Linked DNA regions of Kluyveromyces lactis. The protein of the gene in region 3 interacts with the protein of the main gene of each other region in a pairwise test. Links are inferred from orthologs where the notes say so. Each region holds a gene or a part of one and is shown on either strand. Other genes may lie near its edges. The genes, in order: SLA1, GTS1 and PAN1.

What was found.
Region 1: the proteins of PAN1 (region 3) and SLA1 interact in binary tests that used the Saccharomyces cerevisiae proteins (3 or more experiments, as listed by UniProt). The link is inferred for Kluyveromyces lactis from reciprocal best matches to the Saccharomyces cerevisiae genes PAN1 and SLA1.
Region 2: the proteins of PAN1 (region 3) and GTS1 interact in a two-hybrid assay, tested with the Saccharomyces cerevisiae proteins (2 studies listed by BioGRID, with this or other methods). The link is inferred for Kluyveromyces lactis from reciprocal best matches to the Saccharomyces cerevisiae genes PAN1 and GTS1.

What each region holds. Positions count from the first base shown.
Region 1 is NC_006037.1:445,530-452,405, forward strand, and holds the start of SLA1 (cytoskeletal protein-binding protein SLA1), read right to left. Parts: upstream 3,259-6,876; coding exon 1-3,258. Other genes in the region: 2-hydroxy-palmitic acid dioxygenase MPO1, read right to left, coding at 4,061-4,582; SCL1 (proteasome core particle subunit alpha 1), read left to right, coding at 4,869-5,609; LDB7 (Ldb7p), read right to left, coding at 5,951-6,397; ERG4 (delta(24(24(1)))-sterol reductase), read right to left, coding at 6,804-6,876. UniProt on the Saccharomyces cerevisiae protein: Component of the PAN1 actin cytoskeleton-regulatory complex required for the internalization of endosomes during actin-coupled endocytosis. The complex links the site of endocytosis to the cell membrane-associated actin cytoskeleton.
Region 2 is NC_006039.1:1,493,094-1,500,753, reverse strand, and holds GTS1 (Gts1p), read right to left. Parts: upstream 3,510-7,660; coding exon 2,358-3,509; downstream 1-2,357. Other genes in the region: serine/threonine protein kinase ATG1, read right to left, coding at 1-1,795; MND1 (Mnd1p), read left to right, coding at 4,198-4,875; COM2 (Com2p), read right to left, coding at 5,229-6,653; KLLA0_C17050g (uncharacterized protein), read right to left, coding at 7,415-7,660. UniProt on the Saccharomyces cerevisiae protein: Appears to modulate the timing of budding to obtain an appropriate cell size independent of the DNA replication cycle. Transcription factor involved in both heat resistance and flocculation.
Region 3 is NC_006040.1:1,149,687-1,158,594, reverse strand, and holds PAN1 (actin cytoskeleton-regulatory complex protein PAN1), read right to left. Parts: upstream 5,225-8,908; coding exon 1,250-5,224; downstream 1-1,249. Other genes in the region: KLLA0_D13442g (bifunctional 4-hydroxy-4-methyl-2-oxoglutarate aldolase/oxaloacetate decarboxylase), read right to left, coding at 1-268; U2 snRNP complex subunit IST3, read left to right, coding at 604-1,104; KLLA0_D13376g (alpha-mannosyltransferase), read right to left, coding at 5,746-7,737; RRM3 (DNA helicase), read right to left, coding at 8,028-8,908.

The DNA.
Region 1 (6,876 bases), on a different chromosome or scaffold from region 3:
ATTGAAGTTTGGCTGGATGTTCGCTCCACCTGTGAATTGGTTCCCAAAGGTAGTAGCCGGCTGTATATTCGCACCTCCTGTGAATTGGTTTCCGAAAGTGGTAGCAGGTTGTAGATTAGCACCTCCAGTAAATTGGTTTCCAAAAGTGGTGGAAGGCAGCAAATTAGCACCTCCAGTTAATTGATTACCAAATGTGTTAGTTGATTGCAATGGCATTGCACCGGGCATTTGCGTGTTGAAGGAAGTAGGAGGTAAGGCACCACCAGTCCTTTGTAAAGGCATTGCGCCTCCTGTGATACTTGAACCAAAGGTTGTAGCGGGGAATGCTGTTTGGGGTTGTACACCAAACGTCGTTTGTGGCATCAACCCTCCAGTGTTCGCTGGTATCAAACCGTTCGCAGTCTTTTGAACTGGCAAGACAGTACCTGTTGGTTGCATACCAAACGTTGTTTGAGGTGCAATCATACCTCCAGTCCTTTGCAGAGGTACTAGCCCCCCAGTCGGTTGGAATGGCATTAAACCGCCTGTTGCTACTGGCATCATAATGAATCCCCCTGTAGTAATAGGGATTAGATTATTACCACCAGTTTTGAATGGATCTAATGGAACCAAAGAAGTACCCGTCTTATTTGCTGACAGAGGGGTTTCTTCCTTTTTATTCGAACCGTTAGTGGTGACAGATTCTAGATGCTTGACATCTGGAGCTGGTGTTTCTTTCTTCTTCGGCTCTAAAGGTTGCAAATCAAGCAAATCTTGAAGTGACCCAGAGAAATCCTGAGCCTTGTTGGAGCTGTCGCTGGCTTTAGCAGCAGGTCTAACAGTCCATGCATCATCATCTCTATTCGATGAATTACTATCTGGTAATAGATTATGAGATACGCCTGCAGATGCGGGAGCACCTGTATGGTTAACCTTCAAGGATCCATCGGCTTCAGTAAACAATCCAGTTGATGGAGAAGCCTCCTTTGTTCTGCCAAACTTGTTATCTAGATACTTCATTACTCTTAAAATGTCACCTTCACGTAGACCTAAGTTTCTTAATAAAGAAGGCTCGATATCTGGCAAGATTTCTTCACTAATTTGCTCTCTTTCGAAATTAATGGTGTAGCGTTGACAATTGTTGACATCAACACCAGCATTCAAGAAAAATTCGAACCAATCGTATTCGGGATTCTTGGAGCTCTTTGTGACAGGGTGCGTTTTGCTTGCTTCACTGCCTGGTCTTGGTGGTTTCACAGGTGGCAGTTCTTTGTCTTGTGCACTCCTCAGCTTTTCTCTTTCGCTTTCCAAGAGATCTCTAGCCCTCTTTAACTCTTTAAGTTCTTGCTCTCTTAATTGTCTATCACGTTCTCTTTCTTCAAGTTCCCGTTCACGCTCCTTAGCCTTTCTTCTTCTTTCACGTTCTGCGTTTACTGCACTACTGTCATTATTTGAACTCTTGGGTTTATGTTTGAATTTCTCCATAGACATACCCGTCAATCTTTCCACATACAAAATATCATCTTCGGACAATTTGTCTGCAGCAACAGCAATTTTCACACCGTTCACCTTATGTAAGTTAACCTTCCCATCGACACAGCCCAAAAACTGTGCTTCAACTTTGAAAGTACCACTTCTGTCTACCCAAATTCTAACCTTTTTAGGATCAGGGAACTCTTTATCATCAGTTTTCTTCTTCTTGGAGAAAAAGCTCGAAGTTTTAGACTTTTTCTTCGATACATCTTGATCAGCATCCTCTTTCCAGCTGCCAACTAAATTTTGAGTAAAGTTAGAAGTGTTAGATCTGGATCTGGTCTTAGACTTACTCCTAGAAGGGCTTTCATCAGAAGGCCTTGATGAGCCTGATCCGCGTGTTTCGACAAATTGTGCGGGGACAATGCCTCTTTTACCTGTTTCTACAGATTCACACATATACCAGTCTTTCGAAGTCCTGTCATCTAAGATATTAATGTAGTCGCCTTCTTTAACGGTGAGTTCATCAGGAGAGTTAGCGAAAAAGTCATATACAGCTTTAGCTCTTTTCTTGGTCATGGCAGGCCTTGAAGCAGCTTCAACTTCACGTAACCCAACTGCTGTCTGGGCACCTTTAATCTCACCCAAGACGCCCATGATCTCGTTAGCCAGATCGTTAGAGCCAGTATGCAATTCCAAGTTAATGTAAGGGTTTTTAAATTCAAGAAATAGATGCTTTTTTTCATTGTTATAGTTGATCAAATCTTTAACTGCCCATTCTTGATCCACTTTTGTCTTTGCAGAGAAGAAATGAATACGTTCAGCAGAAACAGTCAACGTAGCTTTACATTTCTTACGACCATCAACCTCACTAACAGACCAAACATGTTCAGCGGTCGAGGCTGAAGGTCTTCCATTTCTAGATGGCAGTGGAGGTTGATCTTCCTCATCGTCATCGAAATCGTAATCACGCTCATCATCTGAATAATCTCTAGTTATTTGGGAAGTTCTATTATTGTCTCTTGGGTCATCACGATAACTTGTTTGGTGTTCAGTATTAGAAGGTCTTTGAGGCATTGCTGGAGGTTCTGCTACTGCTGACTCACGCTGGACTTCTGTGGTTGCCGTATCGTTTCTCTTTGGAGGTGGAGGGAGCAGTGAAACATCAACTGGCATAGTTGTATGAGACGCAACGCCTGCATTTGATGCTGGTGGTGGTGTCGATGTAGATGGAGCTCCTGGAGCATCTGCTGTACTTGCAGCGCCAGCAGGGGTAGATCCGCTTCTGAATGATGGTTGAGAATTGACTCTGTCCAACCTCTGAGGTGGAGCTGGAAGTTCAGAAAGGGGTAGAACAGCTGGGGCTTGGTGCTTAGACTGTGTAACTCCTGCAGCGGGACCTCCAGCTTGCTGCGATTGTTTTTCCACGTAATTACCTGGCACAAACCCAACCTCTGAATTCTTGGTATTCTTCACCAAGAACCAATCTGCATCCCTATCGTCATACAATTGGAACGTATCGTTTTCATGGAATACCAATTCCTCATTGGCATTCTGAACTTGTTCATAATCGTAAAGCGCAACTACACTCCCAATCACTGGAGCCTCTTCAATATATGTCTTGGGGACCAAACCTACGGGTTCATCCTGATCAGATCCGATAACTCTCTTCTTAACGGTCCACCAATCATCAATGCTAGATTTTTCTAAAAGATACAATAGATCACCCTCTTTGACAGTTAGTTCCTCATCTGTTTGCGCAGAATAATCGTAAAGCGCCTGGTAAACACCCAAAAACACCGTCATTGTAGGTATTTAAATGCGTCAGGAGCCAAGTAAAAGGACCTATAAGCTTCCAGATTGTATACAAGGCCAAGAGGATCCCTATACAAATCGCCAATCAAATTTAATTATCCAAACTAAATTGAAATCAAAAACTAAAAGAATGCAGGAATACGAGACACTTCCTTTTTGTCGTCTCTTTTCGGTATTATGCTATTTCCTTTTATTTCTCCGTTTTGATTGGTTTTTTTTTTTCTCTTTTGCACAATTGCAATGCAACTCGCGCACTCTATCTAAACCTCAAGAGTTTGTCTGGCCTTTCTAACCCAATTCAAGCTAAAACTTGTTTATACGAATTACTTATATATGTATAGACATATATATATTTATATATGTTCTAAGTATATTGATAGACTTATTCAATTATTTTGGGCCTAATCTTTTCTCATTTTCTGATTCTCTCATTTTCACTCAGAAAAAGAACAAATGAAAATACCGACAGCACGCAGCACCGGTTCCTGGCAGTGTGGTACAAGAACCTGCAGTTTTCGAATTGTTTTTCTGTGATCCTTTGGTTACCCGGGGTTGTGTTTCGTACATGATGATACGGTGATCCCGGATCTGGAAATAAAAAGGGGTTCTTGCCCAGTTCTAGTCATGTGACTGCGAATCGCAGAGATCTGATAGAAAGAAGAAAAAAAAGAGATCATTTCTATATCACGTGATTGATGTTTCAATTCCATCATGGGTTCAAGTATCGTTATTGTCATCATCATAGAAGTCATAAATAGAGCATATATACTGTTTAGGCGAACGGAGGTTAAGTTTATTTACTCGCTCTCATACGATCTAGCTCTTTGTCAACACGAGCTTGTAGATTCTTCTTAAGTTCAGGCATGAACCCTAAAATAAATAGTAATTCGTAAAGGATGAAGTATGGCGCTAGCACAAGACTTTGCACCAAGTTATCGAGAAGCGCAGGTTTGCGCTTCTCGAAAACACCGTGGCCAATGAACTGGAAGATCCAACTGATCACAAATAATATCCAGGCAGTGGTCTGTGTCATCTTAATAGTCCCGTCGTTCAAAAATTTGCACGTCAGTGCCAATATCAACGACGCAAGGATTCCGGTACCTACTCGTAACAGTATATAGAACAACCCAAATGACAACGCTAACAAATGAGTCAAGGTATAGCCATTCCAGATCTTAACGTCGTTCAATATACGCATGGATGTAAAGAGAATCGTTGGGACAAAAATGCTATGAATTAACACATTCCCAGTATTGTTATGATAAGCTTTGTAGAACGCTAGTTGCGTCTCTAGATCTAGAAGACTGGGACTCATTCTGAGACTTGGTAGCGCAAAACCGTAACACGGATGCTTTGCTTGTGTTTTTTGATGTTGCTGTTTTTTTTCTTATTGATTGCATTATCTCAGTTGTCTTCCCCTTCCTTAATATTTCATTTCAATTTTAACTCTAATTTCAACTTTTAAATAATTTTGGTGGCAAACACATCAACGCACTACAGTTACCTTTACCAAGATATACGAAGAACCTGGCAACTCATTGATCTTCCTGTAACTACTGAATCTCAATCGTCAATTGGGAATCCCTATAACCACATATCCTATGTCTGCTGCAGGTTACGATCGTCACATTACTATTTTCTCTCCAGAAGGTCGTCTTTACCAAGTCGAGTATGCCTTCAAAGCGGCCAATCAACCTAATCTAAACTCAATAGCCATCAGGTCCAAGACCGCCTCTGTGGTAATTAGCCAGAAGAAAGTCCCAGATAAGCTTTTAGATCCTAAGACGGTTAGCTATATTTTCCCAGTGGCAAGACATATCGGGTTCTGTGCCACAGGACCGGTTCCAGATGCCAGAAATATTGCATTGAGATGTAAAGCCGAAGCTAGTGAGTTTCGTTATAAATATGGGTATGATATCCCATGCTCCGTACTAGCTAAAAGAATGGCCAATTTGTCGCAAATATACACACAAAGAGCTTACATGAGACCATTAGGGATTATTTTGACTTTTATTTCGTACGATGAGGAAACAGGACCTGCTATTTTCAAATGTGACCCTGCTGGTTACTATACGGGGTACAAGGCTACTGCCACTGGCCCAAAACAGCAGGAGTTGAACTCTGCTTTGGAGAAGCATTTCAAGAAGTTAAAGGACGATAAAATCGATGAGGAAAGTTGGGAAAAAACCGTTGAGTTCGGTATCACTACCCTAATTGACTCATTAGGAACAGATTTCAGCAAAAATGATCTAGAAGTTGGTGTAGCGATTAAGGATAAATTCTTTACGCTAACAGCTGATGAAATTGAGGAAAGATTGGTCTCTATTGCTGAACAAGATTAAGGTAGAAAATTTCTTTCCCCCTCATATAAATATATAATTCAAAACAATATCACTTATTGTAGTTCCAACATCAAATCTCATACAAGCTACTCTTGAATGTTGAGGTATTTGAAATCATTCAGCGACTAATGGTTCAATAAATGTTACAATTTTCAGCTATACATATAAAAGTATATATGTATATATAGGTATTTGGAGAATCTTCTTAAAAGAGTTCATAGTCTAAAATTCGTATGGCCACAAGCATCAGCTGTCAGTATCGTGTTCAGTTCACTTCCCTTGCCTATCAAATAACATCATCATGACAAGTCAGTTACCGCCTCTCTAAATCAGTATGGATATTAATTCCTATAGTGTTTTTGTTTGTGTGGGGCAGCTCCATATGGGTTACCACCACCCATTATGGGTAGATCAATGGCAGGTACCATGCTTACACGTTCTAAGGCCTTTCTTCCCTCTTCAAATTGCCTCTTCCTAAAGTACGCTGCAAATTCGTTGGCCGATAAAGACTCTAATTTCGATTTTGGCACGTATGGACCAAGCAATTGGTGGTCCCAATGATACTCTGCAAATGCAGCTGCTTCTGCCTGCTTAGGTGAGAGTGGACCTAAGTATTCATGAACTGGCACACGTCTTCCTTCAACTGTATCCTTAGGTTTCAACTCGTCTCTATCTTTCCTCTGTTGTATTTCCTCTTCCACTAGAAAGGCTAGTTGGTTTTTAGTGAAAGAAACTTGTTCTGCACCATCTAAAGTATCCAGTGTGCATATAGCATCGTAGTAACCCATGATTTTAATCGTCCTATTGTAGATGAATACTGATATGAATATATATCAATCTTGAATCTGTGATCTGCCTTTGACCTTTATTCATCATGTATTTTCAGCTGTATGTTAAATCGACAAAAAGTCGAATTTTCATTATGGTGCACATAAACCACCACATAGTAAAGAGGAACGTCAGTTGACAGAAGTAGTAAGAATATACACAAAAGTTATCTTTTGAAACTGTAGATAAAAGTTACAAATAGAATATGTAGTATCGCACATCATGTCTTAAGCAACTAATTCTTACTTGTTGTTGTTACTCTTTTTCCTTTTAAATAGATGGAGCTTTTTTAGTTTTGGTATTCATTCAGAAGGCAAAATGTCTGGTTGAGATGTTCACATGTTGCAGCATGTCAGTGTCACTATTTCAAAAGACATACGGGATAAATAGGTATGGACATTCCTTGCAGTATTTATCCCAGTCAGCTCCATACTTCTTT
Region 2 (7,660 bases), on a different chromosome or scaffold from region 3:
CGGTTGAAGAAGGAGGAGTTGGAAGAATTTGAGAGAATTTCATTTCAGCGAACGAATACATGACAAATGCTTTGGCCGCAAGCGATTCCACTGCAGGAGTTATGTTGGAATCCAACATTTGTTCGCTGAAAGGATTTAGTTTATGATCAGCCCTCAATACTGCATTTTCCGTTAGCTCCTGAAATATCTGAGGATTCAGTAGTGTTTGTTGAGGTGGCGAAGAAGTAGCCTTTGTATTATGTTGATATCCGAAAAGCCTTACAGAAGCTAACCCTAGTGCCTTCGATAACGCATTCGACGGGCTTAATGACGATATCGAAAGCCTTCTCTCCACTAAAGAGGCTCTTCTTCCTCCTGATGCATCGCTAGAAGAAGACGTTCTGTATCTCAAGGGTTTTATAACTTGTGCCCCTTGGTTGTTTGTTATGGGTCCATTATTAGCAAAATCATCAGCCAAAGAATTTACTTCGACAGTTTTCTTCTCCACAACAACATACTCCTTCTCCAAAATCAAATCATTGTAAGAGCTCTTTAGCCTCTTCTGACTTGCAGATTGGTAGCTTTGTTCTGGGTTTTGAGAGTTATCTTCTGGGTGGATCTGTTGATGTGGTGGATGGTTTGTTGCGAGCCTCTCTTTACCTGAGGTTCGCCTAACGCCAGTTTGTACACTAGTGTTCTCGTCAGTTTGAGTTGGTGGTATATGTGCAGATTCCTGCTGCTTTAATGGTTTGACTAGATATTCTGAAACAAACATATTACTTTCAGCGACATCTTTACTCTTGGATTCTAAGTCTGGCTCATACGATTGCTCGTACCTTGTCAAATCTTCTGTCACTACTTCGTTATTGAAAAAATCAGTGAACCCCATACGGGAATCCGGGTCAAAAGTTAGCAACCCTCTTATTAGATTGAACAGTTTCGGTTCAATATAGCAATTTGAGGGCACTGTAATCTCATCGTTGGCCTTTTTAATCTTTTGAAACAACTCGAGATGGTTTGATGCTTTAAAAGGCGGTCTCCCGCAACACATTTCGTATAGCACCGTTCCTACTGACCAAAGATCAGCCTTGGCATTGTATTTTTGATAGTTTAATATTTCTGGAGCCATGTACAATGGTGACCCGCATAAAGTTTCTGCTAGAGAAGTATTAGGCAAGAATCTAGCGAACCCAAAATCCGCGATTTTCAAGATGGGTAAATTGTAGATTCCCACAAACCCCAACTCATGAAACGTCTTCGGATCATTATAATCTAATAACGGTGTGCATAACAATAAATTCTGTGGCTTGATATCTCTGTGTACTAGATTCTTAGATCGCAAAAACTTAAGCGCAGAGGATAGTTGTTGTAAATAGTTTACCACAAGAACCCGATTTAATCCATTATGTTCCGTACTTGGTGGCGGGTAATGTTCAAAAACAGTCTTTATCAAAGGATGCTTGAGCACTAGGTTCTTCCTCTTCTTTATGAAAAACGTTAAATCACCTAGTGCACAGTATTCCATGATCAAATAGAAATCAGATGAAGTCCGCTCACAATCTATTAACCCCACAATATGCGGATGTTTGATCTTCTTTAAAATGGCAATTTCGACCTCCAAATTCTCCAAAAGCTTCTTGTTCTTTAGCTTCGACCTCGACACGGCCTTGATAGCTATGTTTCTCCCATCTCTTAACGATAGACCTTTGTAAACAACCGCGAATGAACCCTTACCGATCTCCTTCTCCACGGAATAGTTTTCTGTCGGCAAACGAATGGCTTTCGCCACAACTTTGTCGTGCGATTCTGAACTCATGCTCAACCGCTTTCCATATGACTACTCAGTGCCAGACCGTTGTCATTCTTTGGCCTCTTTCTTTACAAGGGGGGGCGTTCTTATTTCTTATAAATGGTTTTTAAGGATCAAAACTTAGTTTGTAATAAGTCATTTTGAACTTTATATAGAAATAAAGAAACAAAGAAGGAAAGACAGATATATCGCAGAAAACGTACACAGTAAAGGCAGTGGAAAGACACTGGTGCTTGGTGGAACGGTTTTAAGAAAACGCTCGTTAAGTGCAAATAAGATATGATTGGTTATGAGTCAATGGGAGGTTTTTTTTTTGATGGTCAGTAAGATAATAGTGGTGATAGCTAGGTAGTAAGTAGATCGTGGATGTTCCGGATAAGAGTGTATAGCAGACGTTGTGAAACGTCAGAGGAGGAAGACAAAGTTAGATATTAGTTGTAGCGGTGTTTTGGTTTTAGCCATATTTACGTATTATATAGGCAAACATAGGTATGAGAGATTAAACCGTAGTGCGGTAGCAGATGTGCAGTTGCAGCTGCAGCTGCAAAGAAGGCCAAGGGATGATGATCTATTGGAATGGGGGGTAGAATTGTTGTTGGTACTGTTGTGGTTGTTGGTATTGCATTTGTTGTAACTGTTGTTGCTGCAGGAGCTGTTGCTGTTGCTGCTGTTGTAGCTGCTGTTGTTGTAGCAGTTGCTGTTGCTGCTGTTGTTGGTCCTGCTGTTGTTTTTGGAGATTCAGGATCTGTTGGTATTGTGGATTATCCGGTTTGATTTCTACGGCACTAGAATATAAATCTGGTCTTTGATACAGTGATAATAGTGTGTTCTTATCTATCGATGGTTGAGCAGTGAATTGAGGCTGTACCTGTTGGGTGAACTGAGGTTGTAATTGCTGTGTGAATTGGGGTTGCACTTGTTGTGTAAACTGAGGTTGAACCTGTTGTGTAAACTGAGGTTGAACTTGTTGTGCCAATGCTTGTACCTGGGCCTGCTGCATTGCCGCATAGGAGTTTTGATCTACATAAATTTGGCCGGTAGTTGGATCATAGTATTGTTGTACCCCATCGAATACTGCTGGGCGAGGTTCTGCCGATGCTGTACTAGGTAGGCTTGGTTCACTTGTTCCATCGAAAACGGCTTCTTGCACTTTGTTGTCCGGCCTTTTTGGAAGCGGAGGTCTGTCTCCTTCTCTTGATCTTGGTCTACTGCTGGCAGATGAGGCAGAACGGTTTCTTCTGGACCCGGACGCAGATGATGGGCGGGATGACTTGTAGTCCAATTGTGACGAATCATCCTCTAGATTGAAATCTTCCACCTTGACAGCGGTATGTCTGAACTTACCCTTTAAATATTTATCCCTGATAAACATTTCAACGGCAGTACGATCCTCGTCACCGTCAAATGGGAAAGGTTCTTTCTTAGGGTTCCAAAAACTGCTGTTATGTTTGTTTCCTCCAAGATCGGCAACAGTTTGAACGTCACGCTTAGACCATCTATCAAGAGATAAAGATTTCACGATACTAGTAGCACCATCTTCTCTGCTGCCTAACACTTTCCTATGTACGGAAGCACACCGACCGCACAAGAATACACCCAAGTTCACTGAACAGTAGGTAGGGAATGGTGTCCCACATTCACCACATTTATTTGAATTCTCACCAGCGTTAAGCAAAAACTTTAAATCATGTTCTACAGATTCACCTCTTGATCGTCTCATTTTTGGTTTCCTCGCTTCAGTATCTCCTCAATAAACCTTACCTAAACTCGACTAGTCCAATTTGGGACCCCTATTTGATATAAACGTAATTCTAGCGTTGGGTCTTTATAATCTTATAATATGAAGTATTTTTTTTTATTTTCAATATCCGTTCTTCACTTTCACCATTTTATGCTTCGTTCATTCATAGAACTTCTGTTCCTGTTCGGAATTTCAACCGCATAGAATATTTCAAGAGCTATTTTTGTTCAACAAACGTAAGTCTATTGGAAGCAGTCAGTACGATATACCATCTTGGATACCTTTTGAATAATGACGTGATAGACAGGCTTAAGCTATGTACTATCATATTGCCTCAGGAGAGTTTATTCTCACGTGGTCTGTCATTTAGCCGGAGAATAGGATCTATTTTAATGTTTCGTATATAGCAGCTAACCGCCTCCCCAATTATAAGCAACCATGGCTATTAATATGGCATCTCTGAATTGATTCAATTACTCTCGATTCTGATACTTCTTTCACCAAAATATGTTACTGTTTATAAATTTCCCCATGGAAAATGACATTTCGTCTTCTTTTATATATTTTTATCAAGGTTCAGCGGTTAAAAACAAACAGAAGAAGAACCATCATCACATCAAAGACATCAGCTTCAATTAAGTCTATTAAAAGGTTCAAATAATTCAACATGGCCCCAGGTAAGAATACCGTTTCGCTTGCCGAGAAAAAAGCACGTATCCTAAGGTTTTTCCAAGAAGAACATACCGTATACAACATGAAGGAATTAGAGAAATATATCCCCAAGAAATGTGGCATATCTTCCATGTTAGTGAAGGTATTAGTACAAAAGATGATTGATGAAGATGGATTGATCAGTGTGGAAAAGTGTGGGAACATTAACGTGTATTGGTCTTTCAAAAATCAGATGCAAAATAAGTTGAATAGCGACGCCAGTAACATAGAGAAAAGAATAGAGCATGAGAAAAGTGAAATTGCTCGGTGTCAGGAATTGTATCAGAAGGAAATTCAAGGCCAGAGGAGTGATACGTTGAAGAATAGACGCGGCTGGAAAAGAAGTGCACAGCTAAGTAAATTGAAAGAGGTTCAAAAGACAATTCGTGAATTGAACTCCAAATATGAAGAATTATCCAAAAATAACTGGACTCCACAGCGCATCAAACAGGAGAAACATAATTTGTTTGAAAAGGCAAGTTTTGCTGTAGGTCTTGCAGATAACATTGATTGCATCACTGGGCATATCTCATCTACGTATTGTGTTCAAATGTCTGATTTGAAAGTTGAGTTGGAGCTTCCTAATGAATTCAATCAATTTGAAACAATACTTGAAAAGTTGGGTCACCTTTAGTAACGAGAGGTAAGCAGGGTTGATACATTGGATACTATATATACATATACGATGTTCATATACTGCTTGATAAGCTGATTGATATTCAGAATTATAGTTTTTTTTTGTGATTTTAGTTGATTATTATAGTATAGGGCATAAAATGTTGGTGGGATAAATATGATATCAGTGTCAGGTGTAGTAGGAAGTTTGAATGTCATTTAGATGCTGAAATCCCAATATCATATCATAAATAGTCTCGTTAGAACTTTTTTTCTTCATTATTTGAGGTCATATCATGTCGCAAAATACTGCGTGAAAAATCGTTTAAAGTTAAGGCAGAAAAGTCTAAATAAGCGCTATTAAGAAGAATGTCACTTGTCCTCGTGTGTATGTGTTTTCAAATGTTGACTTAAGTTGTCACTTCTGCTGAATTTTTTCCCACAAAGATGACAACCGTACGGTTTCTCACAGATATGCAAAGACCTGATATGCCTTTTCAAATGCTCTTGTCTTTTGAATCGACGATCGCAGTATTCACAGCCGAATGGTTTTGAAGCATCCAGTATTGGCGAAGGTTTCCGTCCCCTTGTCTTTGGCACACCTTGTTGTTTCTTTATTATCGTTGAAATCGAATCCTTGCTCGAGATGACTTTTGCCAATGATAACGATTCCGCTTTCTTAACCTGTACCATTGGTGGAGGAGACAGCAAAGAGGAGGATGCCGAGCTTATACTTCTCGATCCCGTTGTATTCTTCTTCACTGCAGACATGATCGACGAATTAGACGAAAGGATCAGATCTGGTTCCAGACTATTTATCTTTGTGCTGTGTGAACTGAGAGTTATCAAATCAGAGTCATTTTTAGTCTCCCCAGTAGCCAACAACTTGATTGGGTTGACAATCGCTGCTGCCATCGATGGGTTCCCAGTCTCCACATCGGTCATTTCGTCATCATCAAATTCCGCATTGTGAGAAGAAACTGTGGCAGGAGCATGTTCAGCATGCGCATGCGGAAGACCAGCACCATGAGACGTGGATACTGGTTCTGAATTCCTCAATATAGGTACCGTTGGTTTTCGGGACCAGAAGTACTTCTTCTTGAAGATCTGCTGAGGTTCATCATCCGATATGAGGTCTCTATTGTTGTTGTTCCTGAACATCTTATTCAATTTGAATAGTTTCTTCACCCCACTGTTACCAGTACCATCATTCTCATCGTCCAAATCCAAGTTCATGGACACATCTTCATCCAATCCAGATAACAACAATGCCATTGAATTCGTTGTATGTGGTACTGTCTGCGTTGCATCGTTCACAGATTTTGACCCCACGTTGACAAAAATTGACTCTTGATCCATGTCGATATCAAACTCGTTATCCTCATCAGAAAACACAGATCCGGACCTAGAACTACCCATGCCCCCAAGATTACCTACCCTACTACTACTACCGTTCATCACATCTTTGTTGAAAAACTCATACTCATAGTACATTGGATCGTCACGATGGTACTCGCTTATCGATAACCTTCTGATATCGTCGCCCATGGCCCTGATTGAAGTTCCTTGCTGGAAACTGAAGATCTCATCCTCCAAGGTCTTTCCGGTCAAATCATTACTCAGTTCTTGCTCTTCGTAATCAAACTGCCACTGATTATACTTATTAGCTCCAATATTGCTATTGTCCATATTATCAGCCGGTGGTGTCCTTTTCAATTGCAAATTAAACATCGTGCCATCCCGCAGAGTCTCCTGTGAAATCGTCACAAAATCATTCTGATACATCGTGGGATTCATCCTTAGCTAATATAATATTGATCTGATGGTTTACACTCGACTCAATTCCAAGATATCAGAGGTAAGAGAACATGCATTCAACGAAACAAAGAGAGACTTAAATACAATCAGAATAATTCCCTTTCAGAAATAAATATTAGAGATAGGTGAAAGAGAAACACAAATCAATATAGCTGAATTAAAACTCCAATTGCAACCGCAACTCCAACTGCTAGACCGAAAAAATACTCTCTTCCTGGATCCCGTTCTTATATATAGGAATGTAAAGAAATCTTCCTTTTTCTAAATCTGTCACCTTTATCATTCTTTTCTGCCTTAAAATTGCTTGAGACAGGGTGTTGGTTTTAGTACTTTTTTTATTTATCTCACCGAAAAGCCCTTTTTACACGGTTTTACGCTTTTTGGAATTTTGCAGTCTCGAATGGCTTAGACGGGGCCGTGCGACGGGATGAGAAAATTGTAAAATGCGTAATAATGCAGCACAAACGCACGGAAATGCAAGCCGGCGTGCCAGAAGGGAGAGAAGATCAAGGCTTTGAGTGTGACTGGGGGAAGGCTGGTAGGTTTTAACGACATATAAAATCTACCGAAGTCCCTGGCATTGGACGGAGAGGGAGGAGTGGTTGTGCTGTTGTTTGTGTTTAATTACGCTGGGAAAATGTAAAAAAAGTGCGATAAGCCGCACATTAGACCTAAAAGATCTGAACTGTTTAGTCTGTATGAAAACTGATATGTATATTATAGTAGGAGGCAGGGATGTACTATTGGATAAGAATCCCGCATAACACTTCCAACAAGGCGTTCTCAAACTCTCGGTAGTATTCGTCGCCGCTGGCGACGAATTCCAGCTCGTGGTCGGTACTATCGAGGAGGACTATGTAATCTTGTACTTGTTTGTAGATTGCCTTGATTTCAGTCTCCATGTACGATGAGGATGACGATAATGATGGCAATGCCTGGGGTATGTTGTTGTTGTTGTTGTTGTTGTTGTTATTAATTCTCATGGT
Region 3 (8,908 bases):
CACTGCTCAATTGTAAATCTTCAGTCATACCGATGGTTACGATAGATTCTGCTGGCACATTATCGATGTAATTGACACTGGGTTTATCTTGGGTAGCATTTTTATGCCCGAACAACACAGGAAAAGCCCTACCCACGATAGTCCCAGACCCTGACCTTCTCACCAAATTAGGGAAATATCCACCATTAGTGATTCCATACAAATTCAATAGCCCATCTGAGATGTCACAAGTAGTGAAATGTCTCAACCTTGCAAGATACTCTGACATTCTGCGTGTGGGAATTATAATTCAGCAGCGATCCCGGTAGTGCATAAACTCTGGATTTAACTTCTTTCGAGCGATGGAAAAGTGTTGATAATTTAAAGGTGTTAAAGATTTGAATAAGTTTCTTGAAAGTTCGTTTATATAAGAACAAGAAGACAATTGAAGGTGTTACGCACGAATGGAGGAACCGGAGAAGAATTTGACGGTTACCGAAAAGGAGCTGCAATTTTCTGATAGAAAGGATAAGGAATAACCAATAGAGCTGGTACTTTGCGGTCATTGGGAGGCTGGTTCAACTGTGAATATTTGGAAGTGAAGATCCAATACGATTATCAATTATGAATCAGATAAGGTCGATACAGAAACTTAGTGAAAGGGAGTTGGAATGTGGGATTCTAAAGCCAGAAAGCTCATGGCATCATGAGTATAAAGATCAGGCCTACATAAACTTTGGAGGGATGCACCTCGAATTGACAGAAGCTGATATTCTCACCATATTCTCCCAGTACGGCTGTCCTGTGGACATCAAACTTGTACGCGACCAGACAACTGGAAAATCTAAAGGGTTCGGGTTTCTCAAGTATGAAGATCAAAGATCGACTATACTTGCGGTGGATAACCTAAATGGAGCCAAGGTTTGTGGAAGACTGATACGAGTAGATCATGCTTTTTATAGGCCAAGATCCGATGAAGCTGAGTACGAGGAAGCTGTAAGACAAGAGTTGGAGAAGGATTTCGCAAAAACAGGAGACGTACCGAGTGAACCCATGAAGCAAGAATCGGTGGCTGACCCGTTGGATGAGTTTGCTGATCCAATGGCTGCGTTTCTGAAGAAATGAAATTCACATTCCTAAAGGAACAAGTACGGAGCAGTTCTTTTATGACAACGTAGACTTTTAGTTTCAAATGATATTTATGTACATATCCTGTAACTACTTTTCAATAATTTAGATACATGAATTTACGGACGCGAGAGCATATAACTTATGGCATCGGTGGTGGTGGAGGGATGACCGGCACTGGAGGAGCGGGAGGAGCGGGAGGGATTGCGCCAGTAGGTGCGACAGATACATCTTCAGCACCTGGTGTATGGAACTTATCTTCCTCATCAGAGGCCACCGACTCTGGGATAGATAGTACGTCGGATGCATCATCCGGCTTTGGTTCTTCGTTCTCTGCTAAAGTTGCAGTTCCTCCTACTTTTAGTAAAGGAGCTGCCACAGGAACAGCAGGTGCTACGTCACTGTTTATTTGAGGCAATGGTGGGGCGATAGGTACTGGTGGGGCACCAGACCCTTCAGTAATCGACGTAGGCAATGGAGGTGGAGGTGGGATCAGGGATGATTCGCTTTTAACTAAAGGCAAAGGTGGTGCAATAGGAACAGCGACAGACGATTGTTCTTGAGTGGTTGCAGAAATCTGTGGGAGAGATGGTGCCACAGGAACGGACGCGGTAGATGTAGCAGGAACAGCGGTACTACTGACATCAACAGCTTTGTTGGCTGTAGTATTTACCTTCTCTGTTTCGTCATCATCTGACCATCCGTCACTGTCATCCAAGCCTCGTTGAACCCTTCTCTGCTGTTCAGCTGCCTTCAGATCAAACGAAGATGATTGTGAAGGAGCTTGCTTGAAAAATGGATTTCTGCCACCAGTTGGAGTGTTATTCAATTGTGGGGTACCAGCACCAGAGGCGGGTTTTTGCTGTGTTGCTTCACTCTTGCCAAATGGATTATATTGGTGATGTGATCCGGCTTGTGATTGGTTTCCAGTAGGGTTTGTTGGTGTAGGTTCATCATCCCAGGAGTCATGACCGTTATCATTCTTAGTTTCTGCTGGTGATGAGCTGGTTTGACGCTTGGCTGCTAATCTAGCTTCTTTTTCTTGTTTTTTCTTCAGTTTCAGTTTTTCTAATTGTTCTAACAATCTTCTCTCCTCCTCGTCCTCCTCATCTTCATCATCATCGTCGTTAGCTTTTGGTAGATTGGAGTTGTTTACCGCAGCAGCAGGTTGACTGGGTTGTTGGTAATAGTTAGGTTGCTGTTGCTGCTGTTGCTGCTGCTGCTGCTGCTGCTGCTGCTGCTGTTGAGGCTGTTGTTGCTGAGTCAATTGTGGAGGATTAGGTGATGATTGTGAACTCCCTGATTTCTTTTTGATTCCTAATGCTGCCAATTTTTCTTCCATCTTCTTTTTAGCTTGTTCTTTGACATATGCAGATCTTTCTTCAGGTGTTTGGAAACTTGAGTACGAGTCTTTTTCTTCAGGCGCACGAGCGTTGTTTCTATAGGTTGCTGAAGAAGAGATTTGAATACCGTTGGAGTATCCTGCGGTATTGTAAGAAGAATTATCGAAGTTTCTTCTGTTTTTCCAAGATATGATAAAGTCTCTGACTTCTGGTTCTAGACCGATACCAGATTCCCATTTATCCATTTCGAGGCCCATTGAAGGAGTTCTTCCGTGAATTATAGCTTGCACCGAAGAAGAGATCTCTTGAATCCAGGTACTGATGTTATTGATGGCAGATTGGTTCTTTTGATCATCTTTTTCGATAGTTTCAATTCCTTCGTTGAAATGTTGTGCTTGTGCCTCCAAATTATCGTAATTTGGTTCAGGTCTACCGACTAAAGTACACATTCCTGCAGTCAGGGTCAGTCTTTGCCTTGCATTCTTACAGTCTAACTCAGTGATTTTACAGTTTGGGCCACTACCACGGATTGGATGATCTACCTTCAAGTGGTGCAATGCCAACTGACTTGAAACCAATTCTTTGCTCACATCAGAAATTTCTTTAAAAAGGTTTGGAATTCTGGCTGTCAAAGTATCAAATCTGGATTGTAAATCATGTGGCACAGCATTGTTTGCAGAAGGTGATTTTTTTGAGGTTGAGGGCAACGCTTGAATTTGAGATTTCAAATTTTCAATTGACCGTAATAGATCAGCATTTTCAGACTGCTTTCTTTGCGAGTCATTTTCCAATCTTAATTTTTCCGAGGCAAGCAATTCCTTCTTTTCCCTAATTAAGTTCTTTAAGTTTTCAATCTTCTCCTTATTCTCATTAACCTTCTTAGACTGATCGATTGTCTTTCTACGATTTCTCGAACTTGGCAGTAATTCGTCATCGTTGTTTCTAAATCTCAAACCATCTTCCTTAGTTGGCTGTCTATTATTTTTATCAACACCTTGTTTCAATTGATCTTTGACTGTGTTTAAAATCTTTGTCGAGGATGGAATTAGACTTGGAGGCAACGTATTTGGTAGAACCTCACCGTTCAACCTGCGATAAACTAGATGCATACCAAGTGCGAATTCTTGTTTGTTCAAGTTACCACTATTGTTTGTATCACATAGATTCCAGATATGTTCTAGGTCTGACCTGTTCAAACCAGATTTACGGAAAATTTCAACAGCAGTTGCAGAGTCAAGGTTCCCTGTTTTCTCAACATCATAAGTCTCAAAAATCTTGTAAAACAATGATTTTTCTTCTGGAGTGATGGCCTCTTCCTTTCTTGCAATGAACTTAGAAGCAAGATTAGCTGAAGTGTAAAGATCGTTGTTACCAAATCCTGTCTTCTGAGCTTGAAGTGGCGCAGTTGCTTGAAAATTGGATGGAGGTAAGTATCCAGTAGCTTGTGGTTGCAAAAATCCACCTCCAGTAGCCAAACTTGTCTGCATTGGAGCTTGCTGTGTGAAAGATGTTTGCGGCATTGACCCTGGTGGTGGTATGTTCAAAACAGAGCTAAATCCACCAGTGGTTTGAGCGTTCAACGGTTGATTGAAGGAATTTTGAGGCATGAAACCCGTGGATTGTGGTTGTAAAGCTTGGGAAGTGTTACCAAAAGAAGTCTGAGGTGCTGCTCCATACCCACCAGTTGGTTGCTGAGTCAAACCCTGGAAACTTTGTTGCTGCGGTTGTTGTTGTTGTTGTTGTTGTTGTTGCTGCATCTGCTGAGGCTGACTTCCGAACGATAGCTGTGGCATATAGCCAGTAGGCTGGGGTTGCATCATTGATATTCCAGCAGTCAAGTCATCGAACGGTGTCTTAGGTTTTTGTTCGACTTCCGAATCATTCGAAACACTGAAGTTAATAGCATCAACAAAACTGGAAACCTCCGCCTTGGTTCTCGAATCCAACTCATAAGGAATGGAATCACCTTGCAATACAGAATTGACTAGATACATTGCCAATGCAAATTCTGGGAAGAGAAGCACACCAGCCTTATTAGTATCTGAGAGAGTCCAAATTTTGGCCAATTGATGAGGCTGTAAGCCAGATTTGACCAAGATATTTCTGCACTGGTCACCAGTTATAGTGTTGGAACCAGGAGTGACAACCGATCTAAACAACTTCTCAAATTTGGCCTGATCCTGAGTGGTAATGAAAGACAATCTAATGGCAGGAATCTTCAAAGTGTTGTCAACACCAGTATTCGCGAAGGAATTGATGAAACCGGTGGCGGTTGGCTTCAAAGGTTCCAAAGGCTGCTGCTGAGAATAGAAGCCAGTCTGTTGAGGCTGTAACGGACCTGTTGGTGCATTGACAGCAGTAGTGCTCATCCCTTGATTGAAAGACGTGTTCATTGGCATTTGTTGTTGAGGCTGACCAAAGGATGTTTGCGGCATCATAGAATTGAATCCCGTCAATTGTTGGGTCAGTGGCATTTGTTGTTGCTGATTACCGAATGGTTGTTGCATGCCTTGTTGTGGTTGTGATTGTGGTTGTTGTTGCTGTGGCTGTTGTGGCTGCGCCTGTGTTTGTTGACTGAAACCTGTAGGCTGTTGATTCAAAGCGCCAGCGTTGCTAAAGGTTTGAAATCCACTGAATTGCTGCTGCTGGCCCTGAGTAGGGACCTGTTGTTGATAAAAATTCCCATAACCAGTTGACTGAGGTTGGGCATTGAATTGCTGTTGCCCACCAAATTGCTGCGGCTGCTGGGGCTGCTGCTGGTACTGGTTGTACATAGCAATTAGTAAATGGTTGGTTGACCCTTGAACTCGCTGAGCAATACTGCGATTCGCACCTCCTAAATCAAGATCAAAGTTGTCTTTAAACCCTTTGAATGGGGAATCATTTCAACCAAGAATTTCGTCAAAGTCTCCTATTCGATGATCACAAAATACGAAGAATATCGAAGCGTCAGTGTCAGTGGACGGATACTACAAGAACACTCGAGTCCGAGAGTGATACTGCGTCTATAAAGCAGATTACACCTCGGGGAAACTTCGTGAGCTATCTTCGCATGATTCTGGAGCAAGTTGTGCGGGTATAGGGTACATAATACGGCTGATGTCACTTTAGACATCTGTTTAAAAGTTTAAGTTAAACTACGTAAGTACAGGATGGTGACAGAGGAAGTGTTTTAATGAATACCTCTACTACACCATGACAGTTACACTATGATCAAAATATCAAAAGGCCAGGGGGGTTGGTAAGAACAGGAAAAAAAAAGATCAAGTTAATGGCGTTGGAGATGAAGACACTACTATATTTCCATGTTATCATCAAGTTTGACGTTTGAATTCCAGATATCCGAAACAGATTGTAAACGTGAAATAGTATCGGTATCGAATTTGACTATGGTTCCTACGTTTTCTTTTGCTGTGGCACAATAAGTGTACTGATGACACTCCTTGATTTTTTCCCAGGGATATTGCCCAACATTCGGCGTGATATAACCACTGATAGATAATGAAGAATCATACATTTGCTGTAAGGCAACAGGGTTGCCGTATTTCTCTTGGAAATAGTCAGGGTCGTGGTCGAAATCAGCCACGGCACAGTCTTGTACCTTACACTTCTTCAACCCACCGTTGGACCATAGTAAAGTACCTTCTGTGCTGACGTGAGCCATTTGGGTGCCACATATTTCAAAAGTATCATCAGGCTTGTTTTTAACGGTACCCATGATGGAACCTTCAGTTGGGTATATAGAATATTTCTCTCCGGCGAGCAATTGGCCAAGCCAAAATATTTCTTTATCGCCGTAAACGCATCTTTGAAGCTTACCATCGATATTCATCATAGTTGAGATGAGTAGACTAGATAATTTTTTAACTCGATCAACTACAACTAATCCACTATCTATGTGATGTAGTTGTAAGTTATGGAAGAACTTATAGTATATCTGCTCTTCCATAGATAGAGTATCGATATTGATATTATCATTCTCCACAAGTTCGAGGGGGAAAGTAGATCTATGGCTCATGAAATGGGTTTCTTCTACAGACGGGAAAAGCTTCTTTAATGTATCTGTACAATAAATAAAAGTTTTCTCGCCTATAATATTTCTGTCTCTGAATAACAGCATGCCAGTGTCCTGATAACCTTTGAAATCAAAATAGGATTCAAGACTGGCAAATGACACAGAGTCCGCATCCAGTAGAATACATTCAGAAAAGGTATTGAACAATAATGCCATCCATTTATTTATGAAATAATGGACGTATTGACCAACGAATGAAGCATCGATTAACGGTTCAATATTGACAAAATAAACCTGCTGTGATAATTTTTTTGCGTTTAAGAATGAATGAATGTCGTAAATGAAGGCTTCAGTAAGCTCAGATCCGTTGTGAATAACTTGTATTGGAAGTGTATTATTTAAATTCTCCAAAGTGAGAAGTAACTTCTTGAACTGGTCACCGTGCCTCAGCCCCAATGTCAGTACAATTCCCTTCCCCTCTGCAAAATTATTCCAATTATAGAAGAATGAATAATTATCATCCATTTTCCAGGTGTCTTTACCTTCTAACAATGGGTTACTAAAAGAAGGAATCAACGTCCAAGGATTGACATGTATCATTTTAGGCCACAAATGTCTGAATGGTGTCTTCTTTGAGAGGAAAGGGAATAATCTCGATTCAAGATCGTTTGGCTTCACGACTGATCTCTTGAACACCTTGGATGTGGATAAACCTCCACTGATGAAACAAGAATCATACATCCTTATCCGTTCTAACATAAGCTCTGCCAAGGGGTCATCCAAATTATTGTCGTTATGGAAGTCTTTAATATGATCATTATTCCATGTTGGGTTTATTTCCAATGTTGATTCGAAATAAAAACGGCATTTCTGCTCTAGGGGTAGCGTTGGCCAGTCCAAACCAATCTTATGATACTTATTAGTAGCATGTAGAGCCAACGAAAGCCATTTTCCGAGGTTAAGCGAGCTTGCGAGTCTATAAAATGGAGAGTAAATTAGTGCTCTTTTACCTTCAAAATGTGGAACAGTTGAATTTGGTACTGCTCCGCTTGGTAATAGAAAAGATATAAACAGCAACGTAGTTACAATCCCAAGCACCTTGATGCTAAATATCCTTCTCCAACGAAATTTCATCGCTTCAGGGCCACAAGCATAGTCTCTCGGATTTCTTTCTTGTTTTGAGTGCAGATAGAGTCTCAGCCTCATCGGACAATTTGATTTACTTTGTTTATTCATTACATATTTTAGATTATTTGGCTTGTTAACTGACATTGAATAAACAAAAGATAAAAAAAAACATCACAGACCCCTATCATCGATATAATAGGACCCGAATGTGTATCGTTACAGTATATCAACAAATAACTGCCTTATGCCTTTTCTTTTTTGATATATATATGCTTTATTTATCATTATGCGTATATGCCATGAATGTTCGGCGATTTGATGAATAATTTAAGTTTAGCTTTTAAGGACAGCCCCAACTGGGACATCTCCTCCATGACATGAAATAATGTGCGCTCATTCATACTCTAAATTTTTTTTTGAGGTTGTTAAGCTATTCATGTCTTTAGTTTATGCAAGTTTTGGTAAAAGTCCTTTACCTTTTCATTAACCTTAATTTTATGAGGATCAAAGTTTGTTATTTGTAGTCTATCCTTCGAGACAGCTCTTGATAATGCCACATAAACTTGACCTGATTCAAAGGTCCGTTTCAGGTCTACTTTTAGTCTATCGATAGTTTGACCCTGGGATTTGTGGATGGAAATTGCCCAACATAGCATTAAAGGTAATTGTTTCCTGACAGCAGAATCCTTCTCAGTTTCTCCGACAGAGAATTCTTCTGGTTCAACTAGTTTAATTTGGTATCCTCTGATGTCTTGTTTGTCTATGAATTTCACAACAGGGAACATGATTGTCGATAGAATACCGGGCCCATTTACGATTTTACTTGCTTTATCCAATACGAAGTTAAGAACTTCTTGCCTGTTTGTTGGTCTAAGATTGATATCCCGTTGTAAGTCCGAAGATCTACCAGATGGTGGCACACCAATGGCTCTGCAAACGCATCTCATATCTTGTACAACTTCCGGATCGCTTAGATCAGGGAATATCTTGGATGCTTCCAAGAACAATGCCGAAGTACAGAAAAAGAGGACTCTTCCTAAGGAACCATTGACTAAGGTATCATCGATGTTTTTCAACATCATTACTTGGGCATCCTCCTTCAGTTTGATTTCTTTTTCTGCCATAACGTTGTTAAGAATATTAGAATTGATATTAGGAGGGATAAAATCTACTGCCTTGTAAAGGATTTCATAACCTGGCAACCTCTCTAACCTACGTTTATTGGACAGTTCCACTTCACGTCTCGTTGGGTAAAGTTCGGTTGGTTCAATGCCATCGTCGTATTCCACTGGTGCTTCAAATTTTTTAATTAGTT